Elephas maximus indicus: one gene and its partners. The main gene of each other region encodes a partner of the protein of the gene in region 2 in a complex. Links are inferred from orthologs where the notes say so. Each region holds a gene or a part of one and is shown on either strand. Other genes may lie near its edges.

Region 1 (9,709 bases), on a different chromosome or scaffold from region 2:
CATTCTAATCATCTCAGGGGCATGAACATTGAGGAAGACAATTTCTGGATAAAATAGTGGATTGAATAAAACATATTTTTATTCCCTTCCAAGATCCCATCAAAATTATAGTAAAGGAGCAATTTTAAAAGACATAAACCCTCAAATGGCCAACAAGCACATGAAAAGATGTCCAACATTATTCGCCATTAAGGAAATGCAAACCAAAACTACAAGGAGATACCACTCACACTAGGATGGTGATGATAATAATTTTAAAAACAACATGGAAAATAACAATTGTTGGCAAGGATGAGGAGAAATTAGAATGCTCTTACATTGCTGGTAGAAATGTAACATGGTGCACCTACTATGGAAAAGTTAGGTGGCTCCTCAAAAAGCTAAACATAGAATTGCCCTATGACCCAGCAATTCCACTCCTAGGCCTATACCCAAAAGAACTGAAAACACAAATCCTTGTACATCAATTTTCATTGAAGCAGTATTCACAATAGCCAAAATATGGAAACCCAAATGTTCATTAATGGATTAATGGATAAGTAAATTGTGGTAAATACATGCAGTGGAATATTATTCAGCCATAAAAAGGAATGAAGTACTGATTCGTGCCACACCATGGATGATTTTGAAAACATTATGCTAAGTGAAGTAAGTCAGACACGAAAGATCACATATTACATGATCCATTTATATGAAATATCCAGAATGAGCAAGTCCATAGGGGCAGAAAACAGATTGGTGGTTACCAGGGCTGAGGGGAGGGAGAAATGTGGTGTCATTGCTTACGGGAAGCTCAGTTTCTGTTAAAGGTGATGAAAAAAACTTGGAAACAAATAGCGGTGATGGTTGCATAACATAATTAATGTCATTAAATTGTACATGAAAAAATGTTGAAATGGCAAAAGTTTTGTTATATATGTTTTTAGCACAGTAAAAAAAAAAAGTGACACACAGGAAATAAAGAGCTCTTGGAAATGAAAACTACAAGAGCAGAGATGAAAAACTGAATAGATGGGTTGGAAGTAAAGTTTAGGGAAACTTCTGCAAATTAGAGCAAAAAGATAAAGAGATGGAAAATAGAAGACAAAAGATTAAAAATAATAATAATGGGACCAGTTTAGGGGGCAAAAAATCCAAGTAACAGGATTCCCAAAAGAGAGAACAGAGGAAATTGAAAGAAATGTACCGTCAAATAGGTAATTTTTAGATTTTTCACTGAACTGAAAGACATGGTTTCCAGATTGAAGGGACATACTGAATGCCTAGAGCAATGACGAAAATAGACCCATATCAATACATATCACTGTGAAATTATAGACTATTGAGGACAAAGTGAAGATTCTATAAACTTTCAGAAAGAAAACAGTATCACATCACAGGATCAAGAATCAATGGCTTCAGCTTTCTCAATGGTAGCAACATATGCTGAAAGATAATGGAAAGTTGTCGTTAAGATTCTGAAGAAAAATTATTTCCAACCTGGAGTTTTATACCTAACCAAGCTATTAATCCAAGGTCAGACATGCAAGGTATCAAAAAAAATTTACTTCCCATGATCTTTCTAAAAAAGCTACTGGAGGTTGTGCTCCATAAAAACAAGGGAGTAAATCAAGAGAAAAAATCATGGGATACAGAAAATGGACCTCTACTACAGGAAAGAAGAAAAAGAATTCCTCAAAATGATGGTGAAGAAAGATGCCAGGATGACACCTATGTCCCATGTGTAAAGGGTTACTAGTCCAAAGTGGAGCAGGTCAATGGGCTCCTGGAGAGATGTCTTCCAGATGATGAAATTGATAGACTACCTAATGGAATTAATGTCTTGAGAGGAGTTACAGATTACTGATGAATAATTTAGGGACATGTTATTAATAAGTAGATTAAAAACTAAGGAAAATAAAAACCAAGACAATTTTCAGTTCTAGAAAAAACAAAAAGTTTTTCAGGAAAGGAAAAATAATCATGGTTTATTGCCTGTCCCAATCCTTATTACCATACATTGTAATAAAGTGTAAACACTGAATATTGACCTTAAAAAAAAAAACTAAAATACAACTATATATAAAGGTGGGGAATGAGAAATGTGTGTGGTGTGGGTTGGGGAAGGAAAGAGAAGTAAATACTAATTTCCTGTAGTGGGAAGCTCATAGATAATGTCTAAAACTAAAAAAAAAATATTCACAAGCAGCAATTTAACCATGATATTTAGAGATATGAAAGGAAATACCAAAAGACTTAGCTAAATGAGATAAAAGCTATGCCCGTTGGAAAAGCAGAAATGGAAGGAACTACAGTTTTCTTCTTAACATACTTTATGAAGCAAACTGACTCTTTATGAGCATACATAAGGTTGACAAAAATATTAAGTTAATGTTGGCCCAGGACAGGAACCATTCCCAAAGCCAACTCTTCAGACAGGGATCAGACTGGACAAAGGGTTGGAGAGGGATGCTGGTGAGGAGTGAGCTTCTTGGATCAGATGGGCACTTGAGATTATGTTGGCATTTCCTGCCTGGAGGGGAGATGAGAGGGTAGAGGGTTTTAGAAGCTGGTGAAATGGTCGCAAAAAAGAGAGTGGAGGGACGGAGCTGGCTGTCTCCTTAGGGCGAGAGCAATTGGGAGTACGTAAAAAAATAGCAAGGTGTATATAAGTTTTTGTGTGAGAGACTGAGTTGATTTGTAAACTTTCAATTAAAACACAATCAAAATTAAAAAAAATTAAGTTAAAAGTTCAAAAAAGGACTTTTGGTGGGGAAAGGGCCGCAGATAAGGCTGGTTGGGGGAAGGGCAAGTGGATAGAGCACGGGATGAGGAGAAATGAAGACTAAGGCAGTAAGGAAGAAAAATGGTTGAAGATCTATGGGGTTGGAAGGAAAGCCTAAAAAGGGAGGAGGTGGCTTGATTGATGGGGGCAACTTGAGGTGACAGCTGAATGGCGGAAAGGAAGCGCCTGGGTCTCAGGGCCCGACTAGGAGCTGGACGAGGCACTTACCGGCGCCTCGGACATGAGCACTGGGTGCAGATTTGGCTCAGACTTGACGTGTTTGCTGTAGGTGTGATCCAGGATGGCACGGAAGCACTCCCAGTCCTCGACTGGGGCCAGGAGAACAGCGTGGAGAGACAGTGGAGGGCAAGCAGCGGTCAGAGGACCGGAAGGAAAGAGGAGGGAAGGAAGCCAAGTCCAGGGGAAGGGAAGTGGGACCAGTTCCGGCAGAAAAGCCTCTTTCCCAGGAATCTGGCAGCCCCTGGTTTGGGAACCAGGCAGCTGTGGGAAACAGTGAGGGGTCACTGGGACTTGGGCAGCTGTAAGGAGTACTCCGTGGGTGTGGGTGCTGTGTCCCGGGCCGTGGGGAGTGAGCTCCGGGTCTGTGTTGGGAGGCAGTGGGTGGGGCCCCTTACTCATGCCGTTCTTGAGGGGCGACATGACCTCCGCTCCATCCCGAGGCACGTGCAGGGCGTTGGTGTCTATGTGGAAGATCTTCCCTTTCTTCTCTTTCTCCCCCTCCAGCTCCAGCCCGCCCCCCTCCTCCGCGGCCAGCAGCCCCACCGTGGTGGGGAAGTCAGCCTGAGGGGGGAGGATGGGCAGGGAGAAGGATCACCCTGTTGCCCTGGTCCTGCCCCACTGCAAGGCCCTCAGCCCGCCAGAGGTTTACGCCCACATTTCCCTCTGCAGAGCTTCTCTGCGAGTCTGTGAGAGCCCTAGGTCACTGTAAAGCCTGGAGGGGAGTCCGGAGCCCCTAGGATTTGGGAAGGGAGCTGGAAGACTCACCTTGGGGCAGTCCTCCCCAGCGTACCCAGCGCGGACTGAGAAGGAGCCAATGTCAAAGACCAGCGCCCCCACCTCATCTGTGCGAGGAGACAGGCTTGTGAGGGGGCCTCCTCCAAACTCTCTTGCCTGGACACCTCCGAGAGGAGGTCAGGGCAGAGCCACAGTCTCGCCACCTTCATCCCGCGCAGGGGCAGGTGGGAGCTCAGCCTGGAATCCAGGGTGCTGAGAGTGGGAGTCAAGCCAGCCAGAATCCCGTCTTGCTGAGTGGCCTTCTTCAGGCCACTGTCTTTGGCGGGGAAGGAAGGGGCTGGGGTCCCTGAAGAGGTGGGTTGAATGGTAGAGAGTTTGGCCCGGAGAGCGAGAGGCGTCCGGGAAGGACTAAAGGCAGGGGTGGCATGGGACCCAAGCCCTGGGCTGGGCCCTCTCGAGCGTCGAGTTGACAGGCCCCAGGGTGCCTGGAGCTTGGGTCGCGCAGGTTCGGGCCTCAGGGCTGCGGGCGAGGCCGCGCCGGACTGGAAAGCCCCAAGCCCGAGACTCGCTCACCTCCGCCGTAGACGCCCCCGCTCATAGTGCCCTCTCAGCAGCTCGCGGCCCGTGGGCGGCGGCGGGATCAGCACCGAGGCGTCCGGACAGCTCCCGGGATCCCGGGCGGGGGCGGGGCGTGAGGCGGCCAATCGGAGGGCCAGATCCCCCGCCCCCAACGGCGCCGCCGATTGGCTGCTAAGCAAGACAATAACCCCGCCGGGGGCCGCTGCTTTAAAGGGGCAGACTCCTCAACATCTGGCTGAGGGGAGGAGGTAGGGGAACAGCGAGGGTGCAGAGACCGACCATAAGAGATAGGCCCACACAGTAGTAAAGAGATGGACACCCCGCCCATTCGGAGACCAGCACTCCGGTGGGTGACTGGTGGGGCCCCTGCTCCTTTATTTGTTTAAAGGGGACAGGGGAAGAGGGCGCCATAGTCCTGGAGAGTCGTCCACCGTCTTGCTCCAGAGCTCTGGTCCGCAAAGCCCAGGCCTGAGAGAAATCGAGGGAGAGGGAGGGGAGGGAAGAAGAAGGGAAAGAGGTACGGGGGCGGGGGGGGGGGTGGTGCGTGTCTTCGTCCTTTCCCAGTGTCTTTCCACCCCTGTCTTTCTGATGGCTTTCTCTTTTTCTCCCCTGTTCTCTGATGCCTGGGCCTCACACATGCACATGTGTACACACACATACACATGCGTACACACGCATACACGTGTGCATACACACACATACCCACTCACACATAGGACCTCAGCTAATCCAGCCTTAGCTTCCTTTCCCAAGGCTTCTCTCTTCAGCCCGTTGTTCTGCTCTGGAGGCATTTATTAAGCAAGTTGGTTTTCTACTGGGAGGTTTCTAGCCTCTTCTGGGCTCCTGGCATGACACCACCTCCACAGTGATTTTAATAGTGAAGGGAAGGAGCAGTGCTGACAGCCTGGGTTAGCCAGAGACTCTTGTATGATCATTTGTGTGTAGCTGTGTGCTTGTATGTCCATGTTTATGTGTGTTGGTATATGTGTGCACGTGCATACGTGTGTGTATGTGTGTACTTATGTGCATGCGTATACATGTGCATTGAGGGCCTTTCCATCTGCTTGTTGGCGGGGGGAACGTTAAGACCGGAGATGACAGAGAGAGGGAATTGTGTGACTGCCACAATGCCCCTGAAGTTTCTGCTCACCAGACACCCACTCTGGAAGAGGTCTTACCTTTCCCCACCAGAAGGACATTTGATCTCAGCTGGCTTAGTGGCTCCCTACTGGTAACAGTGACATCTTATGTGCCCTGGATTGGTTGCAGGCCCAGGTCTGGATCACCAGGCTTGGAGGGGTCCAGTCTGCAGTGGGAAGGGTCAGATGTAGGGGAGAAGGCACTGACCCAGGAGCTGGGAGATTGAGACTCTCCTGAGTGACCCTGGCCAATCATTGGCCTCTCTATAAATTGAGGCCTGTATGAATTGAATGAGCCCCTAAACCTCTTAGAGCCTGCATTTCTTCATCTTTCAAAGTGTTGAAGTGAGGAGTAAAGAACACCAAAGAATTTGATTCATGGCCTGCATGGCCTGTTGACAATGGTGTTGCTTCACCTCCCATGTGAGTTCACCTTTTCAATTCCCCTGCACCACGCCCACCCCCAGATTCAGAAATTGCCCCAATTGGGAGAAATTTTAGTGATCATTGATCCAATCTGTGGATTTTACAGGGGTTTCTTCAGATAGTGGCAGGGCCTTGTCTTGGTCCCACAGCTCACTGGGCGCAGAGCCAGGACTAGAATCTAGATCCTCTTATCAGCCAGTTGAGAGAAGACCTTGTTTCATAACAACTCTGTGTTCCTCTTCAAGCTTCATTGTCCTCCATTGTAGAACACCTGGTGGTGAGGACTCAATGTGATACCATAGTCAAGTGTCTGGCTAAGAGTAGGGCGACAGGACTACTCCATAAAGACTGGGTCTTCAGAATGTCCCTGGGGAGATTTTGAGGCTTTAATATTATAACGCATAAGTTAGAAGTCTTTAGACTCTCTGGTAATGAGAAGAGAATTTTATTCTCAAGGCTGGTGAAAAAGCTACAGTCTTCTAAGTATAGGACTGAATTGGTTTATGTCCCTGTCAACTGTAGCCAGTTTTCATTTGTCATGGGATCTGACATGAGATTCTACTCTATTATGGAGGTGTTTAAGGTGAAGGTAGTTAGTGTATTTAATTTGTTCATTCATTGATTCAACAAACATTTTTTTATGCTGACTGTGTTCCAGGGAACATGCTAGGTGTGAGAATACTGAGGTACATAAGATAGATTCTTGCTCTCAGAGAGTCTTGGTGCAATGGGGAGCTCAGACATGAATGAAAATGAGGTGCAACAGAGGCCTAGAGGATGGAGGGACTGTCTCTGAGAGTCCAGAAAGGCTTCTAGAAGTGAAGTTTGAAGTGAATCATGAACTATGCAGGTAATGGCATGTGCAAAAGTGCTGAGACATGAATATTTCTGACATAAGGGTTTATGTGGGAATAGTTAGGAGCTCAGTTTAGAAGGAGGGTTGGATATGAGTTGGTGGGAGAAAGTAGCATCAGTGGGGAATGAGATTGGAAAAGTAATCAGAGGTCAGCTCCTTTATTTAGCAAATTCAAAGCATCTACTATGTGCCAGGCACTGTTATAAACACTTTACAAACAATAAGTCATTTAATCCTCATAACGTGATTATTATCCCCATTTTGCAGATGGGGAAACAGAGGTATGGAGAGGTTAAGTGACTTGACCAAGGTTATGGTTGTTGTTAGGTGCCATCTAGTTGATTTCAACTCATAACAACCCTACGTACAACAGAACAAAACACTGCCTGGTCCTGTGCCACCTCACAATCATTGCTATGTTTGAGCCCATTGTTGCAGCCACTGTGTCAATCCATCTCACTGAGGGCTGGCTGAGTTATCTTGGGCTGCTCTAACTAAATACCACAAGTGGATGGCTTTAACAAACATAATTTTATTCTCTCAAAGTCCAGGAGTCTACAAGTTTGAGTTAAGGTGCCAGCTCCAGGAGAAGGCTTTCTTTGGAGCAAGGTTCTTTCTCACGAGGAAAAGTCCTTGTCATCAATTTTCCTCTGGTCTAGAAGCTTCTCGGCACAGGAATCCCAGGTCCAAAGGACACATTCTGCTCTGGGGCTGCTTTCTTGGTATATGAGCCCCCTGTCTCTCTGCTCACTCCTCTTATATCTCAAAAGAGATTGACTTAAGACACAATCTAATCTTTTAAATTGAGTCTTGCCTCATTAAAGTAACTGTTGCTAATCCCATTTCATTAACATCATAAAGGTAGGATTTAAAACACCTAGGAAAATCACATCAGATGACAAAGTGGTAGACAATCACACAATACTGGGAATCATGGCCTAGTCAAGTTGACACACATTTTGGGGGAACACAATTCAATCCATGATGAGAGTCTTCCTCTTTTTCATTGACCCTCTGCTATACCAAGCATGATGTCCTTCTCCAAGGACTGGTCCTTCCTCATAACATGTTCAAAGTATGTGAGACAAAGTCTTGCCACTCTTGCTTCTAAGGAGCATTCTGGTTGTACTTCTTCCAAGACAGATGTGTTTGTTCTTCTTGCAGTTCATGGTGTATTCAATATTCTTTGACAACAGCACAATTCGAAGGTGTCAATTCTTGTTTGGTCTTCCTTATTCATTGTCCAGCTTTCAGATGCATATAAGGTAATTGAAAATACCATGGCTTGGGTCAGGTGCATCTTATTGCTCAAAGTGACATCCTTACTTTTCCACACTTTAAAGAGGTCTTTTGCAGCAGAGTTGCCCAATGCAATGCATCTTTTGATTTCTTGACTGCTGCTTCCATGGGTGTTGATTGTAGATCCAAGTAAAATGAAATCCTTGACAACTTCAATCTTTTCTCTGTTTATCATGATATTGCTTATTAGTCCAGTTGTGAGGGTTTTTGTTTTCTTTATGTTGAGATGCAATCCATACTGAAGGGTGTAGTCTTTGATCTTCTTCAGTAAGTGCTTCAAGTTCTCTTTGCTTTCTGCAAGCAAGGTTGTGTCATCTGCATATTGCAGGTTGTTAATGCTGTTTTTCTCCACTTCTGATGCAGCATTCTTCTTCATATAGTTCAGCTTCTCGGATTACTTTCTCAGCATACAGATCGAATAAGATAAATGCTTTGCAAATAATAAGACATTTAATCCTAATAACGGCCTAATTATTATACCCATTTTCAGCTGGGGAAACAGAAGTGTAGCGAGGTTAAGTGACTTGCCTAAGGTTACCCATCTGGTAAGTGCCAGAGCTGGGATTTGAACCAAAGCATGTGAAAAATGCTTACCCTGGGGCAAATGTTGTCATGCTTTTATTCATTCCATAAATGTTCCCTATGTAATGATAACCCGTTAACCAAACCCGTTGCCATCAAGTCAGTTCCAACTCATAGCAACCCTATAGGACAGAGTAGAACTGCCCCATAGTTTCCAAGGAGTGCCTGGTGGATCCAAACTGCCGACCTTTTGGTTAGCAGCCATAGCTCTCAACCACTATGCCACCAGGGTTTCCTATGTACCCGATAAAAAAAATAGGCACTGGGAATAAAATGGCTCATAAAACTTGATCCATAGAGTTTATTGTTTATCCAGGAAGATGGATGATGAAACAATTAATTCAATAAAGTCAGCTGGAGATTCTCACATTTCATGCCCGCATTCAGACTGGCTGAACCTGAGCCCCTGGTAATGATTCCAAGGTGGCAGGAACAGGCCCTCTGATCCTACAGCTTAGAAATGAGTTGGCATCTTGTGGGGACCTGACCATTGCTTGTCGAACTCTCACCCAGCCATCTGCCAGGTAAACCAAGTTCCTTGGCTTCTCAGGGAGCCCCTGGCCTAGTGCAGGTGGCAAATGCCCAGGAATAAATAAAGGCTGCAATAGGAATGAAGCCAGCATTGCAGAGGGGCACCAATAACAGTGAAGTTAAGGAGTGCTTCACAGAAGAGGCAATATTTAAAAGAAGCCTGGGGAAATGACCTGAATTTTTCCAGCTGATAAGGAAGTGGTGTTGGAGTGGGGGTGGAAGGCATTCTGAATAGGGGGAACAAGACCAAGTCTGTGTGTCCCATAAAGAGGCTTTGGCCTTCTACTACACGGTTTTGAATGGGAAAGTTATATGACCCAATTTGCATTTTAGAAATATATCTCTGGCAACAATTTGGAAGGTTGATCAGAAAGAAACAGGCAAAAACCAAGGTATGTGGCATGCGCAGAAATGATGGATTTAATACTTAAGAGGTAGCATTGACAGGATTTATTCTCCAAGGAAAGACTGCTAGCCTTACTCTAATACCTCTGTCCTTCTTTCTTTATTAATGTTTTAGCTAGGTACATGGCTAGATATTACATTTTCCAGCCTTTC
Region 2 (10,460 bases):
AGGTGAAGACCGGTGTTTCTGGTCTGTGTGGATAAGAAGATGGTGTCATTAACCTGACAGGGAGAAGAGGAGCAGGTTTTGGGGGTGAAGTAATGAGCTCATTTGGGGAACACTGAGTTGGAAGTGTTTAGCCAGAAATGGAGAACAGTCTGGAGCTTAAGACCAAGAAGTTCAGACTAACAATGTGGACATGGGAGCTGTCTGCCCAGACGTGATCAAGAAACTTTAGGAGTAAACACGAACACTAGAGGAGAAGGCTAAGGTTAGGACCTTGGATTTCCAGAAGTAATCTCGAACAAAACCTAGAAAGTAGATGTATGATAAAGTTAGCTAATGTTGTTTCAAGTTTTTTTTTTAAGTAATTTTGAAGTAATGAATCATTGACATGTGGCTCATAAACTAGCTATGAAGGAGTTCCAGAAACGTTTTGTGTAATGACATCACTCCCTGGAACAAGTGTAGGTGGAGAACATTTCAGTCACAAGTCCTCTAATGATTTGCTTTACAGGATAAACTGCAGAAATCCAAGCCTCTTAAAATTTGGAACAAGTCAACAACCTGGAAGGGGATAATATTAAATTCTTGTTAGATTCCCCTCATGTCAGCTTTTTTTATACTAGTCACGTAAAAGCTGAAAAGATCATTATGGGGTGGCATTAGCTAGTTGCTTATAAAGGTGAGGAGAAAGAAGGCAGGAATTAGGCCATCATATGGAAATGACCAGCCTGATTATGCAGGTATCTGACTGGGAAGAATTAAGAAATTAGGTGAGGGGAAATGGGTAACTTTGGTTAGGCAGGGTATGTTGGTGAAAGGAATTTGTGTTTGATCAGATGGGGAGCTGAAGTTCCTGGGCAGGGGAATAATATGACGAAACCAGTGTTTTAGAGCAATCGCACCAGTTAGTATAGGGTGGATTTAAGTGATGAAACTGGGGCACCTTAAAGGTCATTGTAACAAAGACATGAATTAAGATGAAACAATAATTGGTGAGTGATAGGCACAGGAGAAAAGAAAATGTCAGATAATTCTTAAGGTTAAACACTAGAAGAAACTGAGAGAAGAAAGGGTTCAATAGAAATGGAAAAGTTGAAAATGTGATTCTGGGAGAGAAAGAGAAGTTTTGCTTTCATTTTAGGTGACAGTAGGCCAGCTCTGCAGACACACAGGCAACAGGAGATACAGGATCATGGTTTGGCTGAGAGGTCATGCCTGGAAAGGTGGCTTGAGATATTAGGAGAAGGGAGAAGAATGGAGCTTTGGCAGACTTCACAAGAGGGAGAAAATAAATGAGGCAGAGAAGCAGTGTCCTGAGGAGAAAATAAAATGTCTTTGAGGCCTAATGAGAGATTTTTAAAAGAAATTATTTCAAACATAGGAAAAGATCGAGAAGACTATTGGATTTGGTTGATGGTTTCTATTAATGTCTAAAAATTTTCAGGAGGCAGAAACCAGATGACAGGGTATTAAGGTTGCACGGAGCTGGAGGCACAGCATATTTTATTTGAAAAGGTAAAGTAGACAACAACGTGGTGATTTGGAAGTGTCAAGTGGAGGTGGGGTTTTGTTCTGAATTCATGAAAGCTTAAATTAGCAGAGCAGGAGAATTTGAAGGTGTTATGAGAAGAATGGTTATGGAAGCTTCCTTAGGAGATTGAAATGAGCAGGAGTGCAAAGTGGAGAAGATAACTTTAGGGCAGATAAGGCCAAATACTGTACACCAGGAACTAAAGAATGCCAGTGAGTGGAATGTAGTAAATATGTAAGAGTGGTGAGAGAAAGGGGGTGAGATCATGCAACACAACGATACAGGGATAGAGGATTTGCTGGGGTGGAAGGGAAAGGGGGAAGGAGTCGTGGGTGGGCCAGGGGAGTCAAAAAAATTTAAAATTATCTATTGTATATGAAGGGAGAGGTGTTGGCCTCTAATCTCCAGAAGTTACAGAGGAAGTACATGAGAGTGAAAGGGAGAGTCTCCAAGTAACAACCTATGCCAGACTCTCCTTCCCCATCCAGATCCTCCATTTTGTAAGCCATGGATTCCTCCTTTCTCTCTGCACAACAGCATTATTGGTTGCCCTCTGCTGGTCAGTTTTGGTATTGGCTCTCCAGGTATTTAAATCTGAGTGCATGCACAAAAAGAGATTTGCTAGGAAGTAGAATACTGAGTTTATTACTACTACTGAGCCTATTAATTCACTCAGTACATATTACATCATATCTATGTATAAGGCCATTTAGATGAGATACAAAGAAAATATAAAGCCTCAAAAAGCTTATAATCTAGTCTGAGTCAAGATTAAAACATGTACACGTAATTCTCAGTTCACTGTACTGTGGTGGCTTACATGCTGCTATAATGCTGTAAGCTACACCACTGGTATTTCAAATACTAGCAGGGTCACCCATGGTGGACAAGTTTCAGCAGAGCTTCCAGATTAAGACATTGGGAAGAAAGGTCTGGAGGTCTGCTGCTGAAAATTAGCCAATGAAAACCTCATGGATCACAACAGAACACTGTCCAACTCACTTGCTTTGGACATGTCATCATGAAGGATCAATTGCTAGAGGATGATGTTTGGTGAAGTCGTGAAATAGAGGGCCAACAAGGGTATAAGAGACCCTTGGTGAGATGGATTGGCACAACAGCTGCAAGGATGGATTCAAACATGCTGGCTGTTGTAAGGATGACACAGGACTGGGCAACATTTGTTTGTTGCACATGGGGTCGCCATGAGTCGGAGGGGACAGCAACTAACAACAACAACATGTAACTACTGTAAAAAAATCCATTTATTCAACAGTTTTTTAATTGAATGGCTTATATGTGCCAGAGTTTATAGTCTACCGTTGCATTCCACCGGGGAAAAAAGACTTTAAATAATAGGGCATAGGATGTGATAAGCATAGGTAGTCCGGAGAACCAACATTTAAGTGGAGACTGAGTAGAAGGTGAGGATGAGAAAAAGCATTTCAGGCAGAGAACAGTGTGAACAAAGCCATGTACCAGGAACTTAAAGAATGCCAGTAGCCCTCACAATTATCCTTACTTCCAGATAAAGGCCCAGAGAGGTTAAGTATCTTGCTCTAGTAAGTGGTGGGCCCAGCCTACAAGCACTCTTAAGTGGACAGACCTGAGACATATTTAATCAAACCCAAAACCAAGTCCACTGCCATTGGGTTGGTTCCAACTCATAGCGACCCTATAACGACAGGGTAGAACTGCCTCATGGAGTTTCCAAAGCTGTAAATCTTTATGGAAGCTGACTGCCACATCTTTCTCCCACAGAGCAGCTGGTGGGTTTGAACCACCAACCTTTTGGTTAACATCTGAGCCTTTAACCACTGCACCATGAGGGCGTCTGTTGAGAGATATTTAGAAAGTAGGATATACAGACTTCAGACAGAGCCCTGGTGGTGCAGTACTTAAGAACTAGGCTGCTAACCAAAAAGTTGGCAGTTCAAATCCACCAGGCACTCTCTGGAAACTGTGGGGCAGTTCTACTCTGTCCTATATGGTTCCTATGAGTCAGAATCGACTAGAGGAAAATGGGTTTGTTTTTTTGGTATGTCCATACGTATTTATTTTGCAGAGGTCTGTCAAGCGAGATGTCCTGCAGGCAACTCATTGCATGGTGGTGGTACCTGTTAAACCCATTGCCGTGGAGTTGATTCTGACTCATAGTTACCCTATAAGGACAGAGGAGAACTGCCCCCTTAGGAGTGCCTGGTGGATTCAGAACTGCTCACCTTTTGGTTAGCAGCTGTAGCACTTAACCACCACACCACCAGGGTTTCCTATGGTGGTGGTGGACTGATTACAGCTGGAGTGATCAGGAGTATCAGAGAGGAGGGGCTTAAAGAATGTGTAGGATTTTGGAAAGTGATCCTGGAAAGAACGGCATGAGCAAAGGTATGAAGGTGAGAGGCTCCGAAGTATAAATGTGTAGAAAGTTCTATGAGTTATCCTTGAACGCCTTGCCTTGCGGAGACCCTTCCTAAAGATGATGCTGTTATGCAGGAAATAAATATATAAAAAGCACACCCTCAATGAGCTCTTTCCCACAATCAGAAATTAGGGGATAGGAACAGCAGGGTAAGGTGAGTGCAGGATGGTTAGAGATTTGAGAAGAGATTAATGCCCTCGCTTGGTTAATACACATTTAGAACAGTGCCTAGCACATACTGAGCACTCAATAAAAAGCAACAGTTATCTTCCAGCACCCTGGCTAGATCTGCAGTGTTTATGTTTCAATAGGCTACTCCCTCCTAGCCCTGTGATGCCTGAAGTACACTTCCTCAAGGAAATCTAAATGAAAGAATGCCCTGTTTCCTGGGTCCTCGGTGTAATCAGACCCACAACGCACAAGGTGTGATTTCTGGTCATGAAATTCAGAGGTGCCCTCTTTTCCTGGAAATCCAGGTTTAACAATCATTACAAAATAGGCACTCACACACATTCCCAAACAAAACTGAAACAACCCTTCTTTATCCAAATCCTTTTTTATCCCCCCCCCTCAGGAAAATGAAACGCTTTGCTAGCAAACCTGGTTATAGAATTCTGAAAGTGCCTTGCAGCCTAGCAGCCAACGCAGTTGTGCATAAATTTAGCTTCCCGTAAGCCCCCATCCCCCAAATCCAGGGGTGAAACCTTTCAGCTTCCTTTTTCGAGAGGGAAAGGGAAATGCAAGAAAGACATGTGCGGGGACTGGGGCTCCCTTAACATGTCGTGGAAAAAAAAAAAAAAAAAAAAAAGCGCCGCCGTCACGAACAGGATTCGAACCTGTGCGGGGAAACCCCATTGGATTTCGAGTCCAACGCCTTAACCACTCGGCCACCGTGACTCCCAAAACCGCGCTCCGCCGTGCGCTTACAGAAGGGGTCCGCATTGCGACCGGGGAAGAACTGCAGTGAGAAGTGGGACCCCGACCCATCCACACACCCCCTATATCCCTCCGGCTCCTTACCTCTCCTCTCCGCCACTCAAAGGAAAAGGGTCGGTGGACGGGCTGATAAGGAAGGTCTCCCGCCTAGCGAAGAGTCAGGGTCTCAAGGAGCGCAAACCTGCTTAGGAGGCGATGGCGAGGCCTGAAGAGGAAGCGGTTGGAGGGAAGGGACTGGGCCCCCACGGTGGCGGCTAGGGGACTCCTCGGGCTAAGGAGTAAGAGAAAGGTCCCGGAACAAGGTGTTAGGGGTGAGAACCTCTGGAAGAGTTTAAAGGGGAGTTCCTGGGGATGGATGGAAGGAATGTATTGTGGAAAGGGGTTTGGAGTTCTTTGGGATTATGGACTCTGGGGTTACGGATGTGCAAGGAAGGAGAGGACAACTCCAGGCTGGGATTCCTCAGGCGACGTCCTAGAAGTAGGTTAGAGACGTACCCCATCCCTCGAGCTGAGGCAAAAGAGAGAAAGGGCTTCGCGTCAGGTAAGGGGCGTTTTCAGGAGAGTGGACGCCCCCTCCAGGAAGCAGCCGCTTCCCAGGAGGCCCCCGACGCTGCTGCCGCCGCCGCCGCTGCCGCCGGGGAGGCCGCCGGGTCTGGCCCGGCGCAGAGCCTCTCCGCCGCCGCCGCGCCCGGCCGGCCGGCAGGGGGCGCTGCGCGGGCCGGGGCCGGCCCAGGCGGCGGGAGGCGGCGGCCGCGGCGGCGGGAGGCGGCGGGAGGCGGGCGGAGGAGGAGGCGGAGGAGGCGGGAGCTGAGCTGAGCGGGGCGGACGGCGGCGGCGGGCCCGAGCCCGAGAAGATGGCGGTGCGGAAGAAGGACGGCGGCCCCAACGTGAAGTACTACGAGGCCGCGGACACCGTGACCCAGTTCGACAACGTGCGGCTCTGGCTCGGCAAGAACTACAAGAAGGTACGCGGCCCGGACAGGCAGGGCCGCGCGGGAGCCGGGGGCGGGACAAAGGCGCTGCGACCCCGCAGTCCCCCGGGCTCCTGCCCACCCTCCTGCCGCCCCCGGCCCCTCCCCCGCGACCTCCGAGCAGCTCAGCGCGCCCTCCGCCCCGCCCGGCGCCCCGCGCCCCTCCCCCAGCCCATTTTACCCCCACCCCCAGCCTCGGATTCCAGCCCCCGCCCCTACTGCTGCGCCCTCTACCCCTTGTTTTTCTCTGCTGCCCCGGCGGGCCCCGGTGCAAGCAGACCACCCGCTCTTAAGCCACCGGCTTCCCGCTTTTCTGGGAGAGAGGCCCGGGGGGAGGGGGAGGGGGCGGACGGGGCACCCAGTGGGCGCCCCCCTAACGCGCCCGCCACAGTGCCGGCCAGAGCTCCCCACGGAGCCAGGTACCAGGAGGGCTGAGGCCTCCCTGGTGCTTTGTGTGTGTTCAGAGATGATGAAAGCAGGAGCGTGAACAGCCACAGAGCAGGCCCCTGGCTGATCATCGGCCTGAAATAAGGCCCCCATCTGGGGATCACCTGTCTCCACCGCTCATCCCCCAGCCTCCATCTAAGAGGCACCAAAACCTCTTTGGGAACCAGGGTATAGGAGTTTCTAGGGAGCGGCCTCTAAAACCATTCCTTGGCTTCACAGTGAAGGCATCCAGCATCTAGCCTTGCATTGCCATGGGTTTGGAGTTCAGAGGCTAGGACAAGCCTTATAACTAGCCTCCCACCATCAACCCCATGAGTGAAGATAATAAAGTAGTGAACAAAGGACTCAAGAAGCCTTACCTGTCCTGTTAGCAAACCTTTTCCTAGTGTCTTCTTTGTCTTTGGGCCTGGTAAAAGGAACGTTTACATATAGGGTGTTTCGCTGGAGATGGTCTTTGCCTCCTGTCTTTCCCATTACCCCCAATTAGGGCTCTCTTTCTACTTTCCAACTCTTCCTGTCCAGCCTTGCAGCCTGTCAGAAGTGTGATGGGTAGACTTCCCCTCTGATCCTGGCTATGAGTCTGGCCCTGTTCTCAGGGTCTCCCTGGGTGTCGGAATTCTGACAAACAGCTGCTGGGTCTGTTTGTGGCCTGTCTGCACCTCGGTGTGAGGCTCTGGTTCCCAGGCTTCTACCTTTGACCTTTTGGAAGAAAGATCAGGCTAGGAGCTTTTAGTCTGTGGCCCTGGAGGAATTGACAGTCTGTGACCTGGTTCAGCTTTCATGCTCTTAGCTCTTTGTTATTTACCTTTTCCTTCACTGATCTCTTTACACCTCCTACTGAGAGGAGTTCTAGTCTCTGTGCTTAGGGTTCAGGAAACAAGGGTCAAAAGGTAAGAGAAAGTTAACCTCTGGATCGGCTTCAACTAGGACAGAAAGGCTAGGATGCTAGACAGTGTAGTATGGAAATGTTTAAGTAGTCCCACGTTTGTTTTTGTCAGATATATTTTCCTCAGAAAGGAAAGATACCGTCTTGGTGTTCCCCACCAGGCAAGTGCTGGTCCTTCCCATCAAGGAGGGCCTACACCAAGCCTCGAAGACATTTGTGCCCAGTTCCTATTACAATCAAAACATACAAGCTTTTTCTCAGTCTTCTTGCCCTACCTCACTTCCTTGTGTCTTTCTCATTAGGCTAATTTTAGGGGGGAGTCTTGACCTTCCACAAAATCCCTCCAAGAAATAACACTGTGGTCATGTTTAGTGAGCCCTGTAGGCATTGCTTCCATGGCCTGAGCTCCATAAACCTTCAGTTATTTTACAACCCTCTGTGTTGTTGGCTAGAAATCAGGTGCCACGATAACAGGGTCCTGCAAATCATATTTCAGGATATAGCTGAGGGAAGAGTAGGAAGCTTCCTTCACTCCCAGCACCCAACACTGGCAATCTGTGCTGGTGGCAGCAGAATTTCATCTTCCTGGTTTGGGATGTCCAGGGCCTCCTTTCTGCTGTTTTCTTTACCGAGACTAGACATCTGGCGAGGAGAGCACTATTTTCTCAGCTCCAGATGCTTCCAGAGCACCTGTGGAAGAATCTGGGAGATGGTGGACCTTTTATCTAAGGTCATTTTCCTTTTCTTTCCTTCTCTTTCCTCAGTATATACAAGCTGAACCACCCACCAACAAGTCTCTGTCTAGCCTGGTTGTACAGTTGCTACAATTTCAGGAAGAAGTTTTTGGCAAACATGTCAGCAATGCACCACTCACTAAACTGCCGGTGAGTGCAAAACCAAGGGGGCAAATCCTCCAAACTGGAGAGGGGGTTGTATCTTTTGCATATTTGTAAATTTCCGGATTTTTGAGATCTGGGTAATTTACTGCCATACCTGCCCCTAGTTAGGGTATTACAGGCTTGACCTAGTCCCCAAGTTACCATTCCCTTTGTCTTAATAATACTTTGGGCAACAGGTTATCTCAGAGCATCTTGGCTCAATCCACGAAACCCTCATGGCATGGCTAAAAGTGTATGAGGTTTGGATTTGCACAGGCTGGTGTTCAGATCCTGGCTCTGCCACTTGATGTCTTAGTGGTCTTGGGCAAGCCACTTAACCTTTCTGAGTCTTGGTTTCTTCATCTCCAGATGAGAGTAATAATAGCTACCTTGTAGGGTTTCTGTAATGGTCAGTGAGGTAACCTAGTGAAGTGTTTGGCACAAGATGGTGCTTTGTGAATATTGGGTTCTTTCCCTTCCCTCTTCCAAGCCACATGATACAATGGTTAAAGAATTCCAGTTTTGAGAAGGAGATCAGTCCAGCATGGGGTAGAAGGAAAGGATTGTTAGGTGATAAGAGAATTTAGGATGTAACTCTCACATACTTCTTCCCTGTCTCAATTTTATAGATCAAATGTTTCCTAGATTTCAAAGCAGGAGGTTCCCTGTGCCACATACTTGCAGCTGCCTACAAATTCAAGAGTGACCAGGGATGGTGAGATGCCTTCTCTATGCTTCTTCCATCTAGTTTAGAGGGAATCCGCCTTTATAATTCTCTGGGGCCTTTTGGGGGCTGGGAAGGCATAGGCAAAAATTCTTGTGAGTCTCTCACTTTGCTAGGTCAGTATGCCTGAGTTAGAAGGTCAGAAAAATGGCTGAGAATCAGAGGCAAAATAGTCTCCAAGAGTGAGTGAGTATATGTGTGTGTGTGTGTATGTATGTGTGTGTGTCAGTGTGTATATTGTAGAGGGAAAGAAATTCTTAGGTTGGCATCTCAGTTTTTCTTTGTCCTTTTGGACTAAGCACAGGGTGATTCAAGGAGTTGAGCTCAGTGAACCCCAGATCCCAGGTCATATTGGCAAAAGCAAGATCACCTCCCAGTTTCCCATGTTAAGAAGTTGTATACTCAAACCTCGTCCCCAAACCTGAGCTATACCACTCACTAGATTATTGCCCCTTTACAAGGCGGCGTTACGATTTCCAGAATCCATCACGCATGGACCGCAACGTGGAGATGTTCATGACCATTGAGAAGTCCTTGGTACAGGTAATAGTCAAGAACACTCCGCATCTCTCTTCCTTCCCTCTGTGAGAAACACCCTTTCCCCATAATCTCTTCCCTTCTGTTTCTCCTCTCCACAGAATAACTGCCTGTCTCGACCTAACATTTTTCTGTGCCCAGAAATTGAGCCCAAACTGCTAGGGAAATTAAAGGACATTATCAAGAGACACCAGGTGAGTAGGTGGATCAGGGGAGATCTCATAAGCTCCATGACTTTCTCCCTGGCATATTCCACACCAAAAAGCAGCCCTGAAGTACCATGTTTTCTACTGCAGAGGTAGCCGTACCTACCTGGAGAAAGAATAGAGTTAAAGCCCTGAGTCTCTCTCTCTCCATCTGTTTTTCCCATTTCCCAGTCTTGACAGGTTTGGATCACTGTTGTTAGAGATTGCCCTGTCCTGGGGAAGAAAACATCCGCTTCCACTGAGCTAAAGGCCTGATTCTAGATAAATGAAATCCTTGTTCTTTGGAGCTTAGTAATAAACAAGCAGATGTCATGGATAGGGGACATACAGCCCACTTTAAATTTCCCATGTGTAGATTATCTATTCAGAGGATTATCTAGCAGTTTTTTAATTTTTTGACTTCTCCCCATTATTAGCACAGTCCAGCAGTTAACCTCTGCCGCTCTGGTGGTGTGTGCTTAGAGAATGCAAACTATCTTAAATACCATCCTAAGCAAAATATGATAAGGAAAGCAGGTCTGTGGTTAAATCTTATTTTGATGTATTTACACCGTGGGTAATTTAAAGGGGACCATATTTACATGTTTCTCCCTGTGCCATCCAGGGAACAGTCACTGAGGATAAGAACAATGCCTCTCATGTTGTGTATCCCGTCCCAGGGAACCTAGAAGAAGGTGAGACCTGAGTTGTCCTGGCCACTGCACTGGTTTGATGGCTTGGACCGGGAGGTGGAGGACAGCTCAGATCACCACACAGGGTCTGGGCTTCTCTCTTCTTTCAACCCTGAATCCTCCTACACTCTTAAGTTCCCATTACTGGGTACCCTGCTGTAACAGGGAAGTGCTTAGGGCTTTTGTTCAGCATTATTTTCTGTGTATCCTTTTAGCTTATACCTCTCCCTTCTCCCTCTCTGTCTCTATCTCCAGAG
Region 3 (10,700 bases), on a different chromosome or scaffold from region 2:
TCTGTCCTAAAGGGTCACTATGAGTCGGAATCAACTCGATGGTAGTGGTTTGGCTTTTGGTTTTGGGGTTATTTTTGGTGTGGAAAGCCTTTCATCCCTTGGCTCATTTCTAAAGGTTAAATTAAATGTGAGCATCTCCGTGAAGTCTTAAACAAATAAACAATCAATCAAAAAGAAAAACAAAAAAACCCAACGTGTTGAGGTGGAGTTGATTCCAGCTCATAGCAACCTTATAAGACAGAGAACTACCTCAAAGGTTTCCAAGGCTGTGATCTTTACAGAAGCAGACTGCCATGGCTTTTTCCCTCAGAATAGCTGGTGGGTTTGAACTGCAGACCTTTCGGTTAGCAGCCGAGTGCTTTAACCACAGTGCAGCCAGGGCTCCTTCAAGAAGTCTTACCCTTCTCCAGTGTTAGAAGGGTAACATTGCTTCCTCTGCTGAGATTCTTTGACATATATCACTTCTCCCTTGTTTTATATTAATTTATAAAAATCCTGTTACCTTGAAACTTTGAAAACTCAAACGAATGAACCTCTGCTGGTGTTCACAGTAGGCACTCAAACACCCAAGAATGTGTCCATTGGGAAGATGGGCACCAAGCCAGGAAAAGGAGAAAAGCTGGAGAGGCCGCTTTCCTTTTTAAGTTTCGTCAAGTAATTGCTCTGCTTGCTTGTAGGGTTGAGCCTACTATCTTTATTCTCTCTCCAGATGGATGGGGAGAGCTTCTTGAGGGTTGTTTCCATGTCTGGGTTATTTTTGTTTCGCCACCTGTGCCTAGCACAATGCCTCCCTCATAGAAAGCCTCCAATGGATGAATGAATGAATGAACTAAGTTAGTGGAAACAGCAAACATTGCTTTCTATTTCTGACTCTCCCCAGAGATATGTGGCTTCAGAGGCCTGGCCCTGGGAGCATCACCCAGACCTGGAACTTGACATCTTTGTTTTTCTGTGTTTAGAGATACTGTGAAGGGAGTGAGAACCCCTGCCCCCACAGCGCCAAGAAGACAGAAAATCAGGCTCTGTGCATATTTAATTTTTATTGACATTTCAGCCACTCTTACATGTACGATTCAGGGACATTCATTATGTTCTCATGCAGGCTGTGGCTTTGATGCCCTCTTTTCTTCAAAAGAGTTCCTCTTCAGCTCAGAGTCTAGAATGTCCCAGAGCTGGTTCTGGACCTCAGGGAACCAGCCATGGCCAACCAGCTGCTATGGACACGACTGATTGTTCTGTGGATGGATGGAGGGATTGAGGGTGAGCTTGGTCTTATTTTTCAAATACCCACTGGACTCGAGACTCCTTCAGCTCTCAGAGCCCACCAGAAATTGCATTTATTTCAGATGGCTTTTGTGGGCATACTTCCTCTTTCAAATGAACTCTTTGGGTGTTTGTGAGGCCTTTGTCTCCTTTCTCATATTTATCTTTGAAAAGTCAGCTGGAAAGGTCAGCACTTGCTACACAAGTGCCATTCTTCTATATTTCTGGATGGGCATCTCCTCGTAGCTTTGATTGTCTTCGGAAACAGCCTTCAACTTTTTAGGAGTAAACCGAGATGGGTGCCCCTGTGGTTCAGATGCTTGGGTCCTCAGTCACAACCCAAATGTTCCTTTGGATGGGTGCACTGAACACATACTTGAGCTGAGTGAGGGAGTTTTGCTAATTGACACGAAGGATGAATTTGAGAAGGCTACAAGGGTGAAGGTGGCTGGGTAGCTTAAATGGTTAAGTGCTTAACTACTAACCGAAGGTTTGGTGGTTCGAATCCATCCAGAGGCACTTTGGAAGACAGGCCTGGTGATCTGCTTCTGAAAGATCACAGTCTTGATGACCCCATGGAGCAGTTCTATTCTGCACACATGAGGCCACCATGATGACAACTAATAACGACACAGGGTGAACTAATATGATTGAGAAAGGCCCATAATTCTTTCCTTGGTCATACACACTGTGTAGAGCAGCTCTATTTGATAAAAATATGGTGTGAGCCATGTGTGTAATTTTTTATTTTCTAGTATCCACATTAAAAAAAAGTGAAAAGAGGTGAAATAGGCTTTTATATTTTAACCCAGTATATATAAAAAATTAGCACGTCACCATGTACTCAATATAAAAATTATTTATGAGGTATTTTACTTTCTTTTCTGTACTAAGTCTATGAAATCCAGTGTGTATTTCACATTTATATTGTTGTTGTTAGCTACCATTGAGTCAGTCCCCAACCTATGGTGACCCCATGCATAACTGAGCAAAATGCTAGCCAGTCCTGCTCTATCCCCACGATCGGCTGCAGCTCAGACTGTTGTGATCCATAAGGTTTTCGATGGCTGATTTTTGGAAGTAGATCGCCAGGCCTTTCTTCCTAGTCACCTTAATCAGGAAGCTCCAGTGAAACCTGTTCAGCATTGTAACAACACATCGTAAGCCTCCGCTGACAGACGGGGTGGCTATGCAAGAGGTGCATAGGCTGGGAACTGAACCCCAATCTTGCTCACGTCAGGTGAGAATTCTACCACTGAAATCACTCCTGCCCCCATTTTACATTGATAACACATCTCAATTCAGACTAGCTGCATTTCAAGGGCTCGATAGCCACATGTGGCTAGTGGTGCCCATATTGGACAGCACAGAACTAGACTCTCCAAGTGAAACAGGAAAGTGGTTATTCTGTACTAGATCTGCCCTCCAAATTAAGCTACCTAAACTAAATACAGATGAAAGGGCTGTGGTGGGAAGGAGTGTGTAAATGACTATCAACAGAACTTTAAAAATGCAGTTTAAAAAGTGTTCTGATAGTCTAATTAGCAAGAGGACATTTTTAAGTTTAAGTTCTATGACCCCTAACTGAAAAATTTCTGTTTATTATTTTTTTCTCATCAGAATGTTCATTTGCTCATCTTGCTTAGACCAATGAGTTCAAAAAAACAAACTTAGTGAACAGTTTCACCTCCTGTTGTGCCCTTTTATTCAGATACCCTACATTCCTATGCCATCAGGAAATGATTAATATCTATGGGTGGGTATATAAAAATAATGGAAACCCTGGTGGCATAGTGGTTAAGTGCTACGGCTGCTAACCAAAGGGTCAGCAGTTCGAATCCGCCAGGCGCTCCTTGGAAACTCTATGGGGCAGTTCTACTCTGTCCTATAGGGTCACTATGAGTCGGAATCGACTCGACGGCACTGGGGTGGGTATATAAAAATAATAGTCGACATTTATGGAGAGAGCCGCCCGAAGTAGGTTCTATTATTATCGCCACTTTTCAGATGAGGAAGCTAAGACCTTACAGTTGCTAAGTAAGCTTACCCGGGATAACCCAGCCGATGAGTGGTGGACTCAGGCAGGCAGATTCCAGAGCTCACACTCCTAGCCCTACACAGCCCTCCTTCACAAAACTAATGTAAAATTTTACATTCTCCAAAATTGTTCAAGGCTTTTTTCACCTTTCAACATGTCCACTAAGCCCTCTTGCTTTTCAGAATTCTGGTAAAAACATGTTTTTGTGGGAGAGGTCCGTACATTTTAAGGCCTATTTGGGAAACTGGCAGATGGAAACTGCCTTATGGGAGAGAGATCTTGATCTACAAGATGAAAACCAAAGTTAAAGATCCCAGGGTGGTACACACGGTTAAGCACTCAGCTACTAACTGAAAGGTTGGCTGTTTGAACCCACCCAGATGTGCCTTGGAGGACAGACCTGGCAATCTGCTCTCAAAAAGGTCACAAACTTAAAAACCCTGTGGAGCAGTTCTGCTGTGCACACACGGGTTGCCATGAATCAGAATCAATATGACGGCAACCAGCAACCACATCTATCCTAGAGAAACACAGTAAAATATACACAAAGAGATCTGTTAAAAAAAAAAAAAGTTAAAAATAATAACTCTTACAGGTCTTAGAACTGATAAAAGATGAATTCACAATTCTGTTTATTTAAAAGTCATACCTGCATTGACAGTTAAAATGACATTCCCTTGGGTAACAAAAAGCAAGGATATCCTACTTCTAAAAAAAAATCCTACCGTTGTTAATTCATGATTCTTTTCAATTCAATCATGAAATGTAACTTAAATGTTTAAGCTCTGGGTTAAACATTTTTTCAAAATGAAGGCGGATCTGGTCTGCCATTTTCAAGTGTGCCGGGTAGTTAGGAATTATGTTGGTTTCTGCAGCTGGGCCTTAACAGAACCAACTATATGCACATGCTCAGAGTATATACTTGCCATGTAGATTTTGTTTTTCTTTACTTTTTCCATTCAATTGGAAGTCCAGTTCAGGGCAGACTCTACACCTCCTGCCTTTATACAGCTGGATAGATTAAAATATGCTGTTTTTTAATCCAAATTGTTGTGGTTTCAATCCGAATCAAAGAGATTGGTGGGAGTTATAACTGTTAATTCAAACTCACTGAGAAGACTGAACTTCTTACATCAGAGTATATAGTACTGGTTTTTAATGATGTCAAGGCCCATTCCAGGCAAAGTATAAACTTTTGAACTAAGCCCTTGGCAAATTAATAAGGAAGAGATTTTTCAAACTTGAATTTGAGAAGACAACTTTTTCAGACTGTAATCTCTTCTAAGATGCTGTACAAAAAGTCACAAATGCATCCGTGTAATTTTACTATTAACTAGTAAGAAAAAACAAAAACCAAATTGTTGCCGTCAAGTAGATTTTGACTCATATCGACCCTATAAGACAGAGTAGAACTGCCCCCCAGGGTTTCCAAGGAGCGGCTGGTGGATTCGAACTAAGGACCTTTTGGTTAGTAGCATAACTCTTAACCACAGGGCCACCAGGGCTCCAGTCAGAAAGAAGGAAGTTAAAATATTTCAAGTCTATTACAAACATACTGATTCAGCCATTTCTATTCATCTGTAACTCTAATAGTGTATGGAACTGAACTCTGAAAGTTCTGGAAGGTTTATTTTAATTTTTAATTCACTGCTTTGAGAGGAGCCCTGAGAAAGGAAGTGAGAGGGCACAGCTTTAAAGAACCGGCAATTTGGCATCTCCTCAGCCCCCTTGTCGCCCCTCCCCCACTATTTTAGCTACTTGACCTGATTAAACAGCTTTGGGACTGTAGCCAGACTTCTGTATGCTAACGAGGCCCCTGCCCTATTCACGATTTAGTGCGATTTCATCCACCCGGAGCTTCCAGGCTGCCCAGTCTGAGCCTGACTTCTCAGAAGTCTCCCAGTTTTGTCAGAGGCTCGCCAGTGAGGAGTTCACACCAACTTGAAGCAGACAGGGACTCTCTGAACGCCTCAGGCCACACCGGATTATTCATTAGCAAATTCTTTTCGCCTTCTATCTAAATAGGAAAGGTGACGCCTGAATCGCCTGTGCCACTCCCGGAAAGGGACTCTAGGTCTACAACACCCAATCTACAGTCTACAACTCGTCTTCAAGTTACTTGCTTTCCAGGCAGCAGAAGGCGTTTCCAAAAGTTTCCCTAAACCTCCCTTACCCCTAAGCCTAAAGGTCACAGCGCCAGGTCCTCCTCAACTCTCCAACCGGCTGGAATGTGATCATTTCAGAAGTTTCTGGTGTAGGGGGAGAACAGAAAGGGTGGTAGTGGGGAACCGCGCAGTGTGACCACCGCGCGTTATGTAACGGAAGCCCTGGCTGCAGGAGTGAGCAAGCCTGACATTGAAACATTCCAGGGGGAGGGGAGTTGCTGTCCGGGAGTCGCCAGGAACAGCAGAGGCAGTTGTAAGACACTGAGAGAGGAAGGTGGCCGAGCTAAAGAAACCATTTTGGGTATTGGAATATTAAAAAACCGCAGGTCTCAGAGTATTAGCAAACGGCAAGACACGTGTAGTAATTTGACAAAACGGGAGCCTTCCAACTTTTGCACGGGAACGAGTAGATTTGCCCTTTGGGGGATTAAAATTAGCCAAGCCAAAAGCTAATGGATGAGGTTCAGTAGTTTGTTCGCAGTATTTAAATAGTTATGCTCAGGAGCGCAAACTCTCCGCAGTTATTTAGAAAAGCGGCGACTTAATCCAAACTACAATACTCTACCGAGTGCGTCTCGACTTTCCCCAATCCGAAAAGGAGTTGCTCGCGCGGTACTGCCCCTTTAAGACCTGCTCGCTCTCCGGCTCTACAAAAGGGAGTGACCTCTGGGCTTTGACAGCTCCCCTAATAACTACCACCGCGCAGGCCCCGCCCACCTGGCGGCCAGCCGCGCCGATTGGCCGGCGGGCCGGTATCCCGTGCTCTGATTGGCCTGCCGCTTCCCCTGAGCGAACCTTTAGAACTCTGAGACAGACAATATTCTGTTACATTGTAGCAAAATGGCGACTGTCATTCACAACCCCCTGAAAGCGTAAGTAAGACCAAAAAATGTACATATTCCGCGTGGTTTCAGTATGAAAAAAAAGGCGCCTTCTCCGTGCGGAGCGCTGCCAACGCACTGCGCTTGCAGGCGCCTCCAGCCGCGGCAGGGCTTCTCTCTTTTCTTTCCGCTCTGACTTCTTCATCTTTTTTTTTTTTTTCCCCTACGCGTAGAAATGTCAGGAGATGCAATTAACAAGAAGAAAACTGTTACATTTGTGTTTTGCTTAATTGGTGGACAGAGCGAGAGGGGGGTGATCGGTAGGGGAGCCAAGCGCCCGCGCGCTCGACAGCTAGGGGGATTGTGGGCAGCGAGGGGACGGCAGGTACCCCGGGTCCCCTACTGAGCGGGGCGGCAAGTGCGTAGCTGGGGGAGGCCGAGCTGGGGGCGCGAGCCGGGCAGTGGCCGCCTCGGTGCACTTGGCTGCGCCCCACGCCTCCGGAGCCGGCGGCCCCCGCCTGGCTGCTCCGTCCCCTCGGGCCAGCGGACCGCGGCGGCTCCGGAGTTTGCAGGGCGCTCTCTGCCTTCCGATCGCTCGCGGGGAGTTTGTGCAAACCTTCCGGAGTTGGGAGGACCGCGGGGGAAGCCGCAGGTCCCGGGAGCTCTGGGGCCCAGGTGGCTGCCTGGGGCTTTCCTGCGGGGCCGCCCCCGGAGCATGACGGCGCTCCGGGCAGTCGCGGGCGCGTTTGCGTATGTGTTTGTGGGCGAACTGGCTGTAGTAAATTAATGACTCGGGTTGACTTGGGGTTGATTCGGAGGCCGGGAAGCTGCAGGTCTTAGGAATGGTGTTCTCATCTCCTCTGGGTGAAAAGGCGAGGCGGGCGGAGAGGCGGCTCCGGGCTCCCCGCCCCAGCAGGCAGCGTTTACTCCCGGCCAGAGCGAGGGGCAGGTGCCTCTGGCCGCCGCCGAGAGACTTTGTGCAGACGCCCAGATCCGGGACGGAGGGGGCGGGCTGGGCAAGGGCACGCGGGGGCCAGTCCCCGGGTTCGACAGTTAATTCCTGCCTGCCTTCCTTCCTCCCCCTCTTCATCCTGGCTTCCTTCCTTCCTTCCAGTCGGTCGAACTGTTAAGCCGCCAAGTCCGCTTGCGATCATCGAGCCGGGGGTGGCCTCGAGAACTAGCGTCGCTCTTAAAAGGGTGCTGTTGGAGGCTCCCTCGGGTTCCTAGCGCGACGTGGGTTCGGGGTCCGTGCGCATTTGATCAGGACTTCGGCGCCCGGCTGGAACCCGCCAGCGAGGGGAGGGGGGGTGCGAGTGGGGGCGCTTCGTGTTCAATTCTCTCTTGTGCGCGGCCGAAGCGGACCCCGGTTCTTTCAACTCCGCGCATCAGCGTCCGCTCCCCCCGCCCCCCCCCGGGGCTCCTCACGGAGTTAAAAGCCAGGTTCCTACCGGGGGGGTCATAGGGGGGCTCCTAAAGCGAAGAAACGCTCGGGGAGAATCGGTCGTGTTTGCACCAGCTTATCTCCCACTAGCAATAAGGAAAAGGGGTAGGAATGTCCCATGTCTAGGAGTTTAAAATATATATATTGAGTGCGGCCGTTAAGAGGACTTTGGAAGCTGAAGCTGATCCGAGAGGACCTCTCGGCCTCGGTTCTTGCACGGAAGCTTGGATATACGGCTCTTGAACGTTACAGCGTTTCACCCAAGAAAGAAAATGTTTTATGGCAGAATAAATGCGCGTAACTTCGCCGCATCCACGCTCCTCGCCTGCGCGGCTACGCAGCTGATGCTGGGAGTTTCTACCAAATCCACAGCAGATTTGCAGTTTTCCCATTTCCAGCTGAACTCACATAGCGGGGCTGATACCACCTGGTAAACTCAAGTTAGAGAAATCTGTTTCACATGTGCACCGTGTTGGTTTCCTATTGGAAAAGCGGTGCTCTTGTTACCCCGGAGCCCGCTTGCTTACGCGCGGGCGCAATATTTCCCGGTTCCGCGGTTCCCCCTGCTTGCTCTAGTTTTTTTTTTTTTTGACCACTGGATGGTGTGTGTTTTGAGGGGGGGGTGTCTGTGTTGGGGTAACGTTAGGGGTGGAAAAAGGGACGGAGAGGCGGGAAGAGGGTAGCCGAATTCCGGCTGATCAATGGAATTAGTTCTGAATTATTATACTCGTACTTTGTGTAATTAGAAACAGTTGCAATGTGATGTATTTGTAATTCTGTGTCTCGACACACGCGCACATTCTCGCATACACACAACACCCCTGCCTGCTTTTTCTAGGTGGGAGTTGCATCCCAACCCCTTTCCCTGGGGGTGAGGGAGTGTAAACAATGCCGGGACCAGTCTAGCCTCCTGCACCCTGGACGCTTTTTAAACTCCTAACGCCAAGAGCACACACGCTATCATTGGGAGACCGACACCATCTGCCTGTATTTTTTTCAAAAGCAACTTGTTTAATAAAACATCTTATATATTTCATTTGTTTTTAAAAGTTGCTGATCAGGAAATAATACACACGTGAATCAATTATGCATGGGATAAATTAGAACAAAGCGTAGAGCCCGAGCCACATCAATCGGAGGGGATGGATTGCAGTGCTGGGAGGAGGGGGAGCGGGGAGAATGGTTTGGAGAGCTCTGTTTTTATCCTCACGTGTCCCTCCTGACAATGAAACGGAGCTGAACGACATTAGCATTTTCTCTGTGCGTTGTGAGTCTGTCTCCCCCTCCCTTAAAAAAAAAAAAAGCCAACATCACCGACGCCCCCTACAGAAGCTGGTTACACAAAGGTTTCCTCTGGGATTGGAGGATAAAGTGGTGGTTGGTAAATGTGCTGGGAAGAAACAAGCTCAGGTTTCATGCAACACCTCTGTAGGGCTCTTTTTACCCTGAGTATGGGCCATTTTTTCATTATACTAGCTTTGTGCATGTGGGACATTCAATAATTCAATGGCTGGGGTAACTGGATGACACTGTTTGGGTCTCCTTGCTTTGGGGTCTTCCTTAGGGCCCTAATGTCCTGAAGCCACATCTCCTGTTTTAGCAGTTTGGCTTTCTTCCTGCCTGTCTTTGATCGCCCTTCAACTCCTTTTTTTATTCTTCCTTGTTGTACCCGTCTTCACCTTCCCCTCTGAAGCTGACAGCCTACCTTCTCCCTCTGTTGTTGCCTTTAACATCTTATTACAGCGCAACAGGGTGTTAGAGGCAGAAACTGGAGCTGCCTAGGCTGATAAGATCACAAAGGGGACTCCGCAGGTGGCCCCACAACTGAGCAGTCACATCTGGACAAATAGAATTTAAAAAATTGATGGGCATGTGTGATGTGTAAATGTATATTACACATTATTTAATTTAGCAGCTACATTGTCTAATCCTAGATGTGTGAGACCCTTATTTCCTACACACATATGCATGATAAGGGCTGTGTAGTGAAGCAAACACATGCAGGTAACATAAATAAGGATTTGATATAGCACTTTGTGTCAATCACATCGTATATTCGTATTCTCACTGCCTTCTCCATTAAGGAGCCTTAATGCTTTTTAATATAAATTCTAATCTTATTTAATATTCCAGTTCAGATAAATCAGCTTTCAGCACTTTAAGCAACTTACTCTTTTATTAAGTTATCAAAACCCTGGTTTGTATGCACTTAACTGGGAATGTCTGCCACCTTCTGCCAGACTTGATTATGCATGTATGTATCTATTATTGTAACTGCCTGCTTAGAAAAAGAATAACGGTTATTATTATTTAATTATTCTATATAGACCAAAAGGGCTTTACCCCAGATAACTATTTATTTATAGAGAATAACACCAGTAAACGAATTTGGCATGCTTTTAACTGTGACTATACATATACATAATTGTATTTTGAACTCGCTTTCCTAAACATTTAACCTTGCTTGGAGGTATGTGTTCTTATCCCTGTTTTGTAATCAAGGACACAACTCTGGGAGAAATAAATATACTTACTTAAAAGTATAAAAAAGTATAGCTAAGGTTAAACAGGGTCCTGTGTGTAGATGGACCTCAAATCTTCATCTCTTAACACATCCTATGATTGGAATACAGTTTATTCTAATCTAAGTGGTTCTGTGCATGTGAAAGTTGTTTAATTGACACCACTTAGAAGCCAGACCCCACTCGTGCTCTGACATTCTGTTTAGATACCAGAGAGTAAGGGGTAGGGGACACATTCCAAGTTTTAATCTCTACTTAGCTCCTTCTGTTGGGGGCAGGAACATGTGGGTAGGTACTAAGTGGGGAACATTGGGGTATGAACTTCGTGAACTTGTAACTTTTTATGGACATACTCCTGGCCCCTTATGAAAAAGGACCCTCAGACTTTAAGCCAACAGATATCTAAGAATGACCATCTCCAAATGTTTCTGGTTGCCACTGGAAAAAAGC

What was found.
Region 1: SMARCC2 (region 2) and ACTL6B share a complex: the UniProt entries of both Homo sapiens proteins name them as parts of the BAF complex. The link is inferred for Elephas maximus indicus from reciprocal best matches to the Homo sapiens genes SMARCC2 and ACTL6B.
Region 3: SMARCC2 (region 2) and DPF3 share a complex: the UniProt entries of both Homo sapiens proteins name them as parts of the BAF complex. The link is inferred for Elephas maximus indicus from reciprocal best matches to the Homo sapiens genes SMARCC2 and DPF3.

What each region holds. Positions count from the first base shown.
Region 1 is NC_064830.1:92,064,286-92,073,994, forward strand, and holds the start of ACTL6B (actin-like protein 6B), read right to left. Parts: upstream 4,395-9,709; 5' UTR 4,338-4,394; coding exon 4,313-4,337; intron 3,847-4,312; coding exon 3,770-3,846; intron 3,566-3,769; coding exon 3,400-3,565; intron 3,094-3,399; coding exon 2,993-3,093; intron 1-2,992. UniProt on the Homo sapiens protein: Involved in transcriptional activation and repression of select genes by chromatin remodeling (alteration of DNA-nucleosome topology).
Region 2 is NC_064822.1:116,159,340-116,169,799, reverse strand, and holds the start of SMARCC2 (SWI/SNF complex subunit SMARCC2), read left to right. Parts: upstream 1-5,668; 5' UTR 5,669-5,737; coding exon 5,738-5,848; intron 5,849-7,951; coding exon 7,952-8,071; intron 8,072-8,694; coding exon 8,695-8,780; intron 8,781-9,250; coding exon 9,251-9,332; intron 9,333-9,427; coding exon 9,428-9,520; intron 9,521-10,136; coding exon 10,137-10,206; intron 10,207-10,458; coding exon 10,459-10,460. UniProt on the Homo sapiens protein: Involved in transcriptional activation and repression of select genes by chromatin remodeling (alteration of DNA-nucleosome topology).
Region 3 is NC_064828.1:85,702,623-85,713,322, reverse strand, and holds the start of DPF3 (zinc finger protein DPF3), read left to right. Parts: upstream 1-6,306; coding exon 6,307-6,338; intron 6,339-10,700. Other genes in the region: non-histone chromosomal protein HMG-17-like, read left to right, coding at 5,091-5,246. UniProt on the Homo sapiens protein: Belongs to the neuron-specific chromatin remodeling complex (nBAF complex).